Macaca mulatta: one gene and its partner. The protein of the gene in region 2 purifies or fractionates together with the protein of the main gene of each other region. This does not show direct contact. Links are inferred from orthologs where the notes say so. Each region holds a gene or a part of one and is shown on either strand. Other genes may lie near its edges.

Region 1 (5,145 bases), on a different chromosome or scaffold from region 2:
ACCCAACCACAATGCAGTGAGGAAGGGCAGCCGCCAAAGGTTTTATTCTCCAGGAAGAGGGGCTCTCAGGGTCTGTGAGCAGGAGGCACGAGGACTTTATTGCACATGTGGTTAGGTGATGGCTGCACTGGGAACTGGGAATCAGAGTGTCCTGACCTCCTGCTCTGTCTCTCTCTCCCTCTCTGCCTCCTCTGTCTCTCTGCCTCTCTCCCTTTCTCCCTTTCTCCCTCTCTCCCTCTCTCCCTCTCTGCCTCTCTCCCTTTCTGCCTCTCTCCCTCTCTGTCTCTCTGTGTCTTTCCCTCTCTGCCTCTCTCTCTTTCCCTCTCTGCCTCTCTTCCTCTCTCTCCCTCTCTGTCTCTCCCTCTGTCTCTCTCTCTCTCTCTGCCTCCTCTGTCTCTGTCTCCCCATCTCTCTCCCCTCTCCCCACCTCTCTTTCTCTCTCCCCTTCTCTCCATCTCTCTCCCTCCTCCTTTCCCTCCCTGACCCCCATTTATGCACCTGGGCCCCCTTCCTGGGCAGGCACACACACAATGCCAAGACCACTGTCTGGGATGTGGGGGCAAGGCTGCAGGACTGTGGTCCTGGTGTGGCACCCCCACCTTCCAGCACAAGTGGGGTCGGGGGTCCCAGGCATGACTGCACTCTCCTGGGTGGGCGCCCTGCACTCGGGGAAGCAGAAGCTGCAGGTCTCCACTGGCTCAGGGGATGTGCCCACAGGGCTGCCAGCTTCCATCGCGTGATCTGCAGAGGCAAGAGTGGAGTGTGTGGGCCAGGCCTGGCCCTGCACCAGGGTAGGGGTGACGGTGTGGGCAGCTGCACTCTTCTCCGACCCAGGAGCTAAGGGCAATCACCCAGGCCAGTGTCAGTGTCCCCCAGTTGCCAACCAGAACCTGTGCCTGGGCAGGGGTGGGCAGGCAAATCTTGACTCTCACTTCAGTCCAGCACCAAGCCTGCCAAACCCCCCAAAGGGACACCTCCTCCCAGGCTTAGCCCTAAAGGCTCTGTATCCTGAGAATCCTGGGCCCAGGCAAATCTGAAGGCCAGCACCCCACACCCACCCTTCCTGGGTGCCACTCTCTTGGGTATCTGCCTGCCAGGATGTCTTAAATTGATTTTATCAAGCTACAGCAAATAACAGGGATGAGCCCTGGGCCTCTCCACTTAGAAGCAGGGGCAGTGACAGGATGGAGGGATGGCCCGAGGCTTGTCACCCAAGTATTGAGAAGGGCGAGGACCCCAGTTTCATGAACTCACCCTGGGAAGACTTGGCCGGATTTTGACAGGACCTTGAGCGGGGCTGGCAGGAGCAGGGATCCCTCCTCTTCTTGAGGAAGCAGGCCACTGTCACCAGGAAGCAGCAGAGGACGGCACACAGGCAGAGCCCCAGCGTGCTGTAGACCAGGGCCAGCTGATCTGCACTCAGTTTCAGCCCCGGGAGAGCTGCAAGACAGCGTGAGACCCCTCTCTGCAGTGCCTTCTCCTCTTCCCACTCTTAGATTTAGGAATTTCATAAAGTGACAGAGCTGCCAGGACTCTTAGGGGTCATCAGTGCCACTCTGACATTTACAGGGGGAGATGGGAACTTGGGGTGAGCTGGTGTCACTCCACCAGTCAGTGGCTGTCCTTCCTGTCCAGTGCCCAGATCTCAAAGAGGCCTAACGGAGGAAAACAAGACCCCAGGACCTGCAAACTTGGTGCCACATATCCAAGGCTTACCTGCTCCTACTTGCCTCTGGAATCAAATGCAAACAGTGCCCTGGAGGCATGAGCAGGTGAGACCCTGCCAGCCCTCAGAGCACAGACAGAATGCCGGGCTACAATTTGTTACTAAGCGGAAATGAACTGCATTGATTCAAGGAGGAAAACAAAATATTTGTGCATATTTCAAACATTTCAACATGAGGTTCTGAAACCCAACTGTTCAGAAACCATGCAAGTGTTCAGAGACCATGCTTACAGCATGGTCACCTGACATCGTGTGGACCATCTGGGCTGGGCTGGGCCTCATTCTATCCAGGAGAGTGCCATGGGGGCAAGGCTGTGCCACTCTGGGCCTCCACCTCAAGAAGACCTGACAGCCTCAGTGTTTGCTCCCTTGGGCCTGAGCCACCACTCAAGAAGTCCAGCTGGAGAGTCCCAGTGGAGAGGGACAGGCCCTGAGATCAGCTGGAGGAGAAGCAAGACCTGAATATCCCAGCATCAGAGTCCAGCCTCCAATAGCTCCATCCCCAGCACCATCTGCATAACAGACCCCAAGCAAGAGCAGCAGAAGACCCGCCCAGCTGAGCCCTGCCTCCCCACAGAGCCACACAAGGTCACAACATGAAGATAAGAATCTGGGGACGAGTGTCCAGATCCAGTGACAAGTGTCCTTATACAAGAAGAGAAGGGAGGAGACACAGGCACGGGAAAGAAGCCATGTGGAAGAGGCAGAGATGGGAGTGATGAGGCCACAAGCCCAGGAGGCCTGGGGCAGCCGCCAGAAGCCGGAGAAGGCAGGGAAGAATCCTACCCTGGAGCTTTCAAAGGGAGCAGGGCTCTGCTGCTGCTTGGATCTCAGACTTCTGGGCTCCAGACCAGAAGACAGAGGATCAGTTTGTGTTGTTTTAAGAACCTAACATGTGCACACTGTCATAGCAGCCCCAGGAAGTACAGCCTATCCTAGGACAGAACGCACCCAGCCAGGGTGACAACCCCTTCAGTCCTGGGCAGGGTTCTGAATGCTCAGCAAACCCCAAGTCACTGAGGCCCCACAAAAGCCCTGGGAGGTCAGAGTCATTATGACCAATTTAGGTGGGGACAGCAAGGCACAAGTAGCCCAGATGCACATAGGTTAATTCTGATGTCACAATTTGTTCAATATTTAGATTTCAGCACTAGGGTTTTTTTCCTAACCTTATGTGCTTTGATGCATTCCAGAACCTTATTCCCAGAAGGGGTCATGGGCACCCCCAATGTCTGCAGGACACAGAGGCTGAGCAGTTCCATGACTGACTACTTCCAGTTCTTCTTTTTTTTTTTTTTTTTGAGACGGAGTCTTGCTCTGTCGCCCAGGCTGGAGTGCAGTGGCGCCATCTCGGTTCACTGCAAGCTCCGCCTCCTGGGTTCACACCATTCTCCTGCCTCAGCCTCCCGAGTTGCTGGGACTACAGGCGCCTGCCACCATGCCCATCTCATTTTTTGTATTTTTAATAGAGACGGGGTTTCACCTTGTTAGCCAGGATGGTCTTGATCTCCTGACCTCGTGATCCACCTACCTCGGCCTCCCAAAGTGCTGGGATTACAGGCGTGAGCCACCGCGCCTGGCCTCTCCCTCCAGTTCTAATCTCATGCCAATGCACTGTCCCTCTGTCCCTTCCCAGGTCCTTGTCATCTCTGGTTCCTATTATTGCCAGAAATAGCTTCTCACAGGGCTCCTGCTGCCATCACCACCATCCAGAGGCAACAGGGCGCTCTCCCACAGCTGTGCTCTGACCCCTTGTCCCATGGCTGCCCCTGTCCCCAGCAAGACATCGGCCTCCCAGTCTGGCACATGGGGCCCACTGTCATCTGGCATCTGGTCCCTCCTGGTGCCATCTCCAACCATCCCTGAATGCTTGCTCTTCCCAGCTCAGTCCTCTGCAGCCCCCACACTGGGGGACAAGGTCCTGCCCTTGGTGCTTTTCCTCCTTCTCTGCTGGACAGATGAGCAGCCCCACCCACTGGGGCAGGCTCCCTGGGCCACCTGTTCCCCTCAGGGAGACACAGACACTACATACGCACCTGCCCCGGAGCCTAGGCAGGGAGCTCCTTGCATCGGCCTGGAGTTGTCGCAACAGAACCCCACACCAGACTCCTCTCCTGCTCAACATCTCAAGCCATTTTCAGTCCAGCTTGGGGGCCTGCCCTGCTCTCCCCACGAAGCCCCATGTGTGAGCAGCAGGGCCTTCTGTGCCCTCTTGGTGAGCATGTGGAGTGGTCAGTCTCCACCTTCAAAGCAGATCTGGGGTGGGGTTCCTCCTGCTTCCGTGGAGTGGCCACCACACTCCTGTAGGCTGGAAGCCTGAGAGGAAGGGATTTAGCCCATTCTCCAGCACAGAGCCCCTCACAGCCTCCCAACAGCCCAGTTCGCTGCTCCTAGCAGCACCTGTATGTGCTGTTGCCTCTGCCTGGAACCCTGTCCCCACCGTGTGGCTTCAACATAGTTGCTTTTTGAATGAGCAGTTCCAGCGCACAGAGCACGTGCTCCCCAAAAAACGTATTCTCCCAAATCACCCTCACAGCAACTCTATGAAGGTGAACAACTCCAGCTTCACAGAACTAAGGCTCAGAGAGGGTCGGTAGCTTGCTCCAGATCACACAGCTTGTGAGGGACATAACTAGGGGTTTGGCTCCATATTCCACACCCCCGCCCCAGCCTGCCCTAAAGGCTCCTCCTCCGGGAAACCTTCCTTGTTCCCGTGTCATCTGCAGCTGGGTTACGTGGCCCCCATGCACTGAAAGGAATGTGTCATCTGCATGGCTTGTCCACTGCCTGGCCTTCCACAAGACGGTAAACTCCATGGGTCTGGGACAGGAACTGCCTCATTCTCCCCGCTCCCCATGCACAGCAAGCCTGCCACAGTTCCAGGTTCAACTAAGGAGGGGCAGTTCTGAATGGGATGCAAGAGAAACCTGGAGTCAGGGTGAGGCGGGACCTGGTAGGGCTGGAGATGGGGGACAGCAGATTTTGGGGAGCCCATGAAGAGGGCAGAGAACAGGTCAGCCCTTCCACCGTGTGCAGCTGGACAACTTGGTCACATGGTGTCCTCTGCTCCCTGCCCTTAAATAGGTCCATCTCTGGGTCCCTCCCCTGGCCATGTGGCTCTGTACTTCCTGTTTGCAATCCACAGCAAGCTCCCCTCCTGCCCCACCAGCCCATGCAGGCATCGGAGGTCAGAACAGAATAGACCTTAGCCCTGGGCCCCTGGAGAAATACAGGGCAGGGCAATGCACAGCGACAGTCACACAGTCACCAAAAGCCACGCCATGGCACAAGTGTGGCAACTGATGCAGGGTGAGGCGTGGTAATGCCGACCCCACTGGCACCAACACGTCCTCACACAGCCCCCAATGCTCACAGCCTGGGGCTCCATCCCTGGAGCCAAGATGAGGCTCCAAGGTTCT
Region 2 (5,145 bases):
GCCCGGATAATTTTTTGTATTTTTATTAGAGACGGAGTTTCACCATGTTGGCCAGGCTGGTCTCAATCTCCTGACCTCGTGATCCGCCTGCCTCGGCCTCCCAAAGTGGTGGGATTACAGGCTTGAGCCACCGCGCCCAGCCGGTACTTTCTATATTTTGTTCTTTTGCTTTGAAAATTTTATGTCTTTAAAGGTTTTGTTTTTTGAGACAATGTCTCCCTCTGTATCCTTGGCTGGAGTGCAGTGGCATGATCATAGCTTACTGCAGCCTCAAACTCCTGGGCTTAAGCAATCCTGCTACCTCAGCCTCCAGAGTAGCTAGGACCACAGGCGTACACCACAATGCCCGGCTAATTAAAAAAAAAAATTGTGTGTGTGGAGATGGGGGTCTCACTATGTTGCCTAAGCTGGTCTTGAACTTCTGGGCTCAAGTGATCCACCAGCCTTTGCTTCCAAAAGTGCTGGGCTTACAGGATTACAGGTGTGAGCCATTGTGCCTGGCCTTTTTTAAAACAAAAAACAAAAACAAAAAAAAACACACCAGAGTAGCATCTTAAAACTGCTGAATTACCTACTAATGGTTGTCTGACCACATAAACAGTAGCTGTGGGATATGCCACACCCTATGCTCATAGGGCACTGGATTCACAAATCTAATTTTAAAATACAGATTTTAAAATGCCTTACTGATTTTATATTTTTAACCAAATAAGCTAAGGCAGGCAATGCAATCATACATCTGGGATATATTATCCATAAAAAGTTGGTCTTTTCAGTTTGCTCAATCTCTGAATATCTTTCCTAGTTGGTCTACTAATCTTATCTCCTACCCATAAAGTTTGAGTTATTTCCTCTGCAGAATACTCATTTTGGGTGATATATTTTGAGGGTGTAGAGGAAGAAACCAACTTTTTTTTTTTTTTTTTGGAGACGGAGTCTCGCTCTGTCGCCAGGCAGATGCAGACGGAGTGCAGTGGCGCAATCTCGGCTCATGGCAACCTCTGCCTCCCGGTTTCAAGCGATTCTCCTGCCTCAGCCAGAGTAGCTGGGACTACAGACAGCTGGGACTGCAGGCACATGCCACCACACCCAGCTAATTTTTGTATTTTTAGTAGTGACGGAGTTTCACCATGTTGGCTAGGATAGTCTCAATCTCTTGACCTCATGATGCGCCCACCTCAGCCTCCCAAAGTGTTGGGATTACAGGCGTGAGCCACTGTGCCTGGCCGAAACCAGCTTTTCTTTAATGCAGAATCAATATTTATTTATTTTGATTCAGAGACTGCTGAGTTCTAGCTGCAACAGCATATTTTAAAACATAAACATGTAAGGTGTTTGCCAGTATGTAATAAATACATAAGGCTTTTAAATTTCTTTTCTCAGAAGAAGAAAGTCAAACAAAATCAAAGCAGCAGGACAGTGATAAACTGAACTCCCTCAGCGTTCCTTCAGTTTCAAAACGAGTAGTGCTGGGTGATTCAGTCAGTACAGGAACAACTGACCAGCAGGGTGGTGTGGCCGAGGTAAAGGGGACCCAACTGGGAGACAAATTGGACTCTTTCATTAAACCACCTGAGTGCAGTAATGATGTCAACCTTGAGCTCCGGCAGCGGAACAGAGGGGACTTGACAGCGGACTCAGTCCAGAGGGGTGCCCGCCATGGCCTAGAGCAGTACCTTTCCAGATTCGAAGAAGCAATGAAGCTAAGGAAACAGCTGATTAGTGAAAAACCCAGTCAAGAGGATGGAAGTACAACAGAAGAATTTGACTCTTTTCGAATATTTAGATTGGTGGGATGTGCTCTTCTTGCTCTTGGAGTCAGAGCTTTTGTTTGCAAATACTTGGTAAGAAAAGATCTGTAAATTATTAACTAACTTAATGGAAAATGCAAAATGTTAATAATTATGAGTGCTTTTGACCCATAGAAGTCATTGCCAAAATTAATATCTACCGGATCCATGTGGCTGTTTGAAGATACATTATTAACTTTGCTATTCATCTTATAGAATGAAGTGTTCTGGTTAAATACAGAGCCTAATAATTATTGTTGGTCCTCCATATCAGTTGGTTCTGCACCCTATGTGGATTCAACCAACTGTGGATTGAAAGTATTTGGATTTAGCCGGGCGTGGTGGTGCACGCCTGTAATCCCAGTTACTTGGGAGGCTGAGGCAGGAGAATTGCTTGAACCCGGCAGGCAGAGGTTGCAGTGAGCCAGGATAATGCCACTGCACTCCAGCCTGGGTGACAGAGTGAGACCCTCCCTGTCTCAAAAATAATATGTATGTGTATATATTTGGGGAAAAAATAATACAATAATAACAAATAATAAATAATACAAATAAAGGCTGGGCGCGGTGGCTCAAGCCTGTAATCCCAGCACTTTGGGAGGCCGAGACGGGCGGATCACAAGGTCAGGAGATCGAGACCATCCTGGCTAACCTGGTGAAACCCCATCTCTACTAAAAAATACAAAAAACTAGCCGGGCGAGGTGGCGGGCGCCTGTAGTCCCAGCTACTCGGGAGGCTGAGGCAGGAGAACCGCGTGAACCTGGGAGGCGGAGCTTGCAGTGATCTGAGATCTGGCCACTGCACTCCAGCCTGGGCCACAGAGCGAGACTCCGTCTCAAAAAAAAAATAAATAAATAAATAAATAAATAATACAAATAAAAACAGTATAACAACTATTTACATTGTATTAGGCATAAAAAAATCTAGAAATGATTTCAAGTATATGGGAGGAATTGAGTAGGTTATATGAAAATACTATGCCATTTTACATAAGGGACTTGAGCATCTATCAGGAGGAACCTGGTACCAGTCCTCTGCAGATACTGAGGGATGACTCTACTGAAACCCTTTTTTCATGCTACGGACCCTTCTCATTGCTTTGCGTATATTAATTCATCTAATCCTCATTCTTATGAACTTGGTATTATTTGAATCCATTGGGAAATGAAGACTCAGAGAGGTTAAATCATTTGCCGAAGGTCACACAGCTACTAAGTGATGCTGGGATTAAACCTTAGCAGTTTCATTCTTTAACCAAAGGGTTAAGTGCTTTACATATATATATATACTGTATATTATCAATTTTCAAATAATTTGAAATAGTAAAATGCAGTTCCTGTGGTCCTGAATATGAGGTAAATTTCCTATGGTTCAGAAGACATTTCAGCATTTCTTTTTTTTTTTTGAGACGGAGTCTCGCTCTGTCGCCCAGGCTGGAGTGCAGTGGCCGGATCTCAGCTCACTGCAAGCTCCGCCTCCCGGGTTTATGCCATTCTCCTGCCTCAGCCTCCCGAGTAGCTGGGACTACAGGCGCCCGCCACCTCGCCCGGCTAGTTTTTTGTATTTTTTTTAGTAGAGACGGGGTTTCACCGTGTTAGCCAGGATGGTCTCGATCTCCTGACCTCATGATCCACCCGTCTCGGCCTCCCAAAGTGCTGGGATTACAGGCTTGAGCCACCGCGCCCGGCCAGCATTTCTTAATGTAGTGTCATAATGAGTCCATTTTGGTTGTACCATGATGTGGTTATTTTGTTTTACAGTATATTGAAGAATACAGAAAAGCATAGCTCATAGTTCAGTGTCTTGCACTGAGGTTTTTCCATTCAGTAGACATTTTAGGTATATGTACCAGGCACATAAATAAATTATCCAGATAATTAAAGTTTATATCATTAAGCAAAACAGTTTTTTTTAATCTTTTTTTTTTTTTTTTTTTTTTTTTTGAGATGGAGTTTCTGTCGCCTAGGCTGGAGTGCAGTGGTGCAATCTCGGCTCACTGCAATGTCCACCTCCTGGGTTCAAGTGATTCTCCTGCCTTAGCCTCCTGAGTAGCTGGGACTACAGGCACGTGCCACCATGCACGGCTAATTTTTTGTATTTTTAGTAGAGATGGGGTTTCATCGTGTTAGCCAGGATGGTCTCGATGTCGTGACCTCGTGATCTGCCCACCACTGCCTCCCAAAGTGCTGGGATTACAGGCGTGAGCCACCGTGCCTGGCCTAAAATCTATTTTTATGCAGATGTTTTCATAAATAGAACCTGTTGAACAGATTTTATTTGTTTTTCCTTGATAATAACTTGTCAACATAGTTTGCTATAATGCAAAGATCGGTGATGCTTTCAGCATTTAATGAGCTGCCTCTTTTTTGTCTCTATCTGAAGGGCTCTGTGCTTTCATGCTTTTAATGTTATGCCTATTTTTGTGTGAATTTTTTTGTTTTGGTTTTCTGGGTTTTTTTTTTTTTTTTTTTTTTTTTTTTTTTTTGAGATGGAGTCTCACGCTGTTGCCCAGGCTGGAGTGCAGTGGTGCGATCTCGGCTCACTGCAAGCTCCGCCTCCTGGGTTCACGCCATTCTCCTGCCTCAGCCTCCTGAGTAGCTAGGACTACAGGCACCCGCCACCGCGCCCGGCTAATTTTTTGTATTTTTAATAGAGACGGAGTTTCACTGTGGTCTCGATCTCCTGACCTTGTGATCCGCCCGCCTCGGCCTCCCAAAGTGCTGGGATTACAGGCTTGAGCCACCGCGCCCGGCCCGGTTTTCTGGGTTTTGTTGCTATCAGAGTTTCAACTGTTTCTTACTGCTGTCACCATACTGCCATCTAGTAATGTTTGCTCCTTCACTCGCTTCGTAATGGTTTCATTTTAAAAGTAGTTATGAGGGGCTGGGCACAGTGGCTCATGCCTGTAATCCCACCATGCCCAGCTAATTTTTTAGCAGAGATAGGGTTTCACCTTGTCAGCCAGGATGGTCGTCTCGATCTCTTGACCTCGTGATCCGCCCATCTCTGCTTCCCAAAGTGCTAGGATTACAGGCATGAGCCACCATGCCCAGCCAAGCATTTAGTTTTGTTGTTGTTTAAAACGTTTTAGAGATAGGATCTTGCTGTGGTGCCCAGGCTGGACTAGAACTTCTGGGCTCAAGCAGTCCTCCTGCCTCAGCCTTCTGCATAGCTGGAAGAATGCCATCTATTTTGAGTGCTGGGCCTTGTCTGTGTGCTTCCTGGATGTCAATTAATTCCCTCTGGGTGACGGAGATGTTACTGCATGATGTGTTAAACATCTGTCACTATTTAATACTTTAAATAATTTAAAAGATGAGTTTTTATGAGAGAAGACAGTTTTGGGGACACTAA

The links. Proteins that work in one complex are often made in the same cells at the same time.
Region 1: the proteins of CAMLG (region 2) and TNFRSF13B purify together in Homo sapiens (affinity purification with western blotting; 3 studies listed by BioGRID and IntAct, with this or other methods). This does not show direct contact. The link is inferred for Macaca mulatta from reciprocal best matches to the Homo sapiens genes CAMLG and TNFRSF13B.

The regions. Positions count from the first base shown.
Region 1 is NC_133421.1:18,492,764-18,497,908, forward strand, and holds the end of TNFRSF13B (tumor necrosis factor receptor superfamily member 13B), read right to left. Parts: intron 1,441-5,145; coding exon 1,255-1,440; intron 742-1,254; coding exon 491-741; 3' UTR 15-490; downstream 1-14. UniProt on the Homo sapiens protein: Receptor for TNFSF13/APRIL and TNFSF13B/TALL1/BAFF/BLYS that binds both ligands with similar high affinity. Mediates calcineurin-dependent activation of NF-AT, as well as activation of NF-kappa-B and AP-1.
Region 2 is NC_133411.1:143,656,682-143,661,826, forward strand, and holds part of CAMLG (guided entry of tail-anchored proteins factor CAMLG), read left to right. Parts: intron 1-1,383; coding exon 1,384-1,844; intron 1,845-5,145. UniProt on the Homo sapiens protein: Required for the post-translational delivery of tail-anchored (TA) proteins to the endoplasmic reticulum.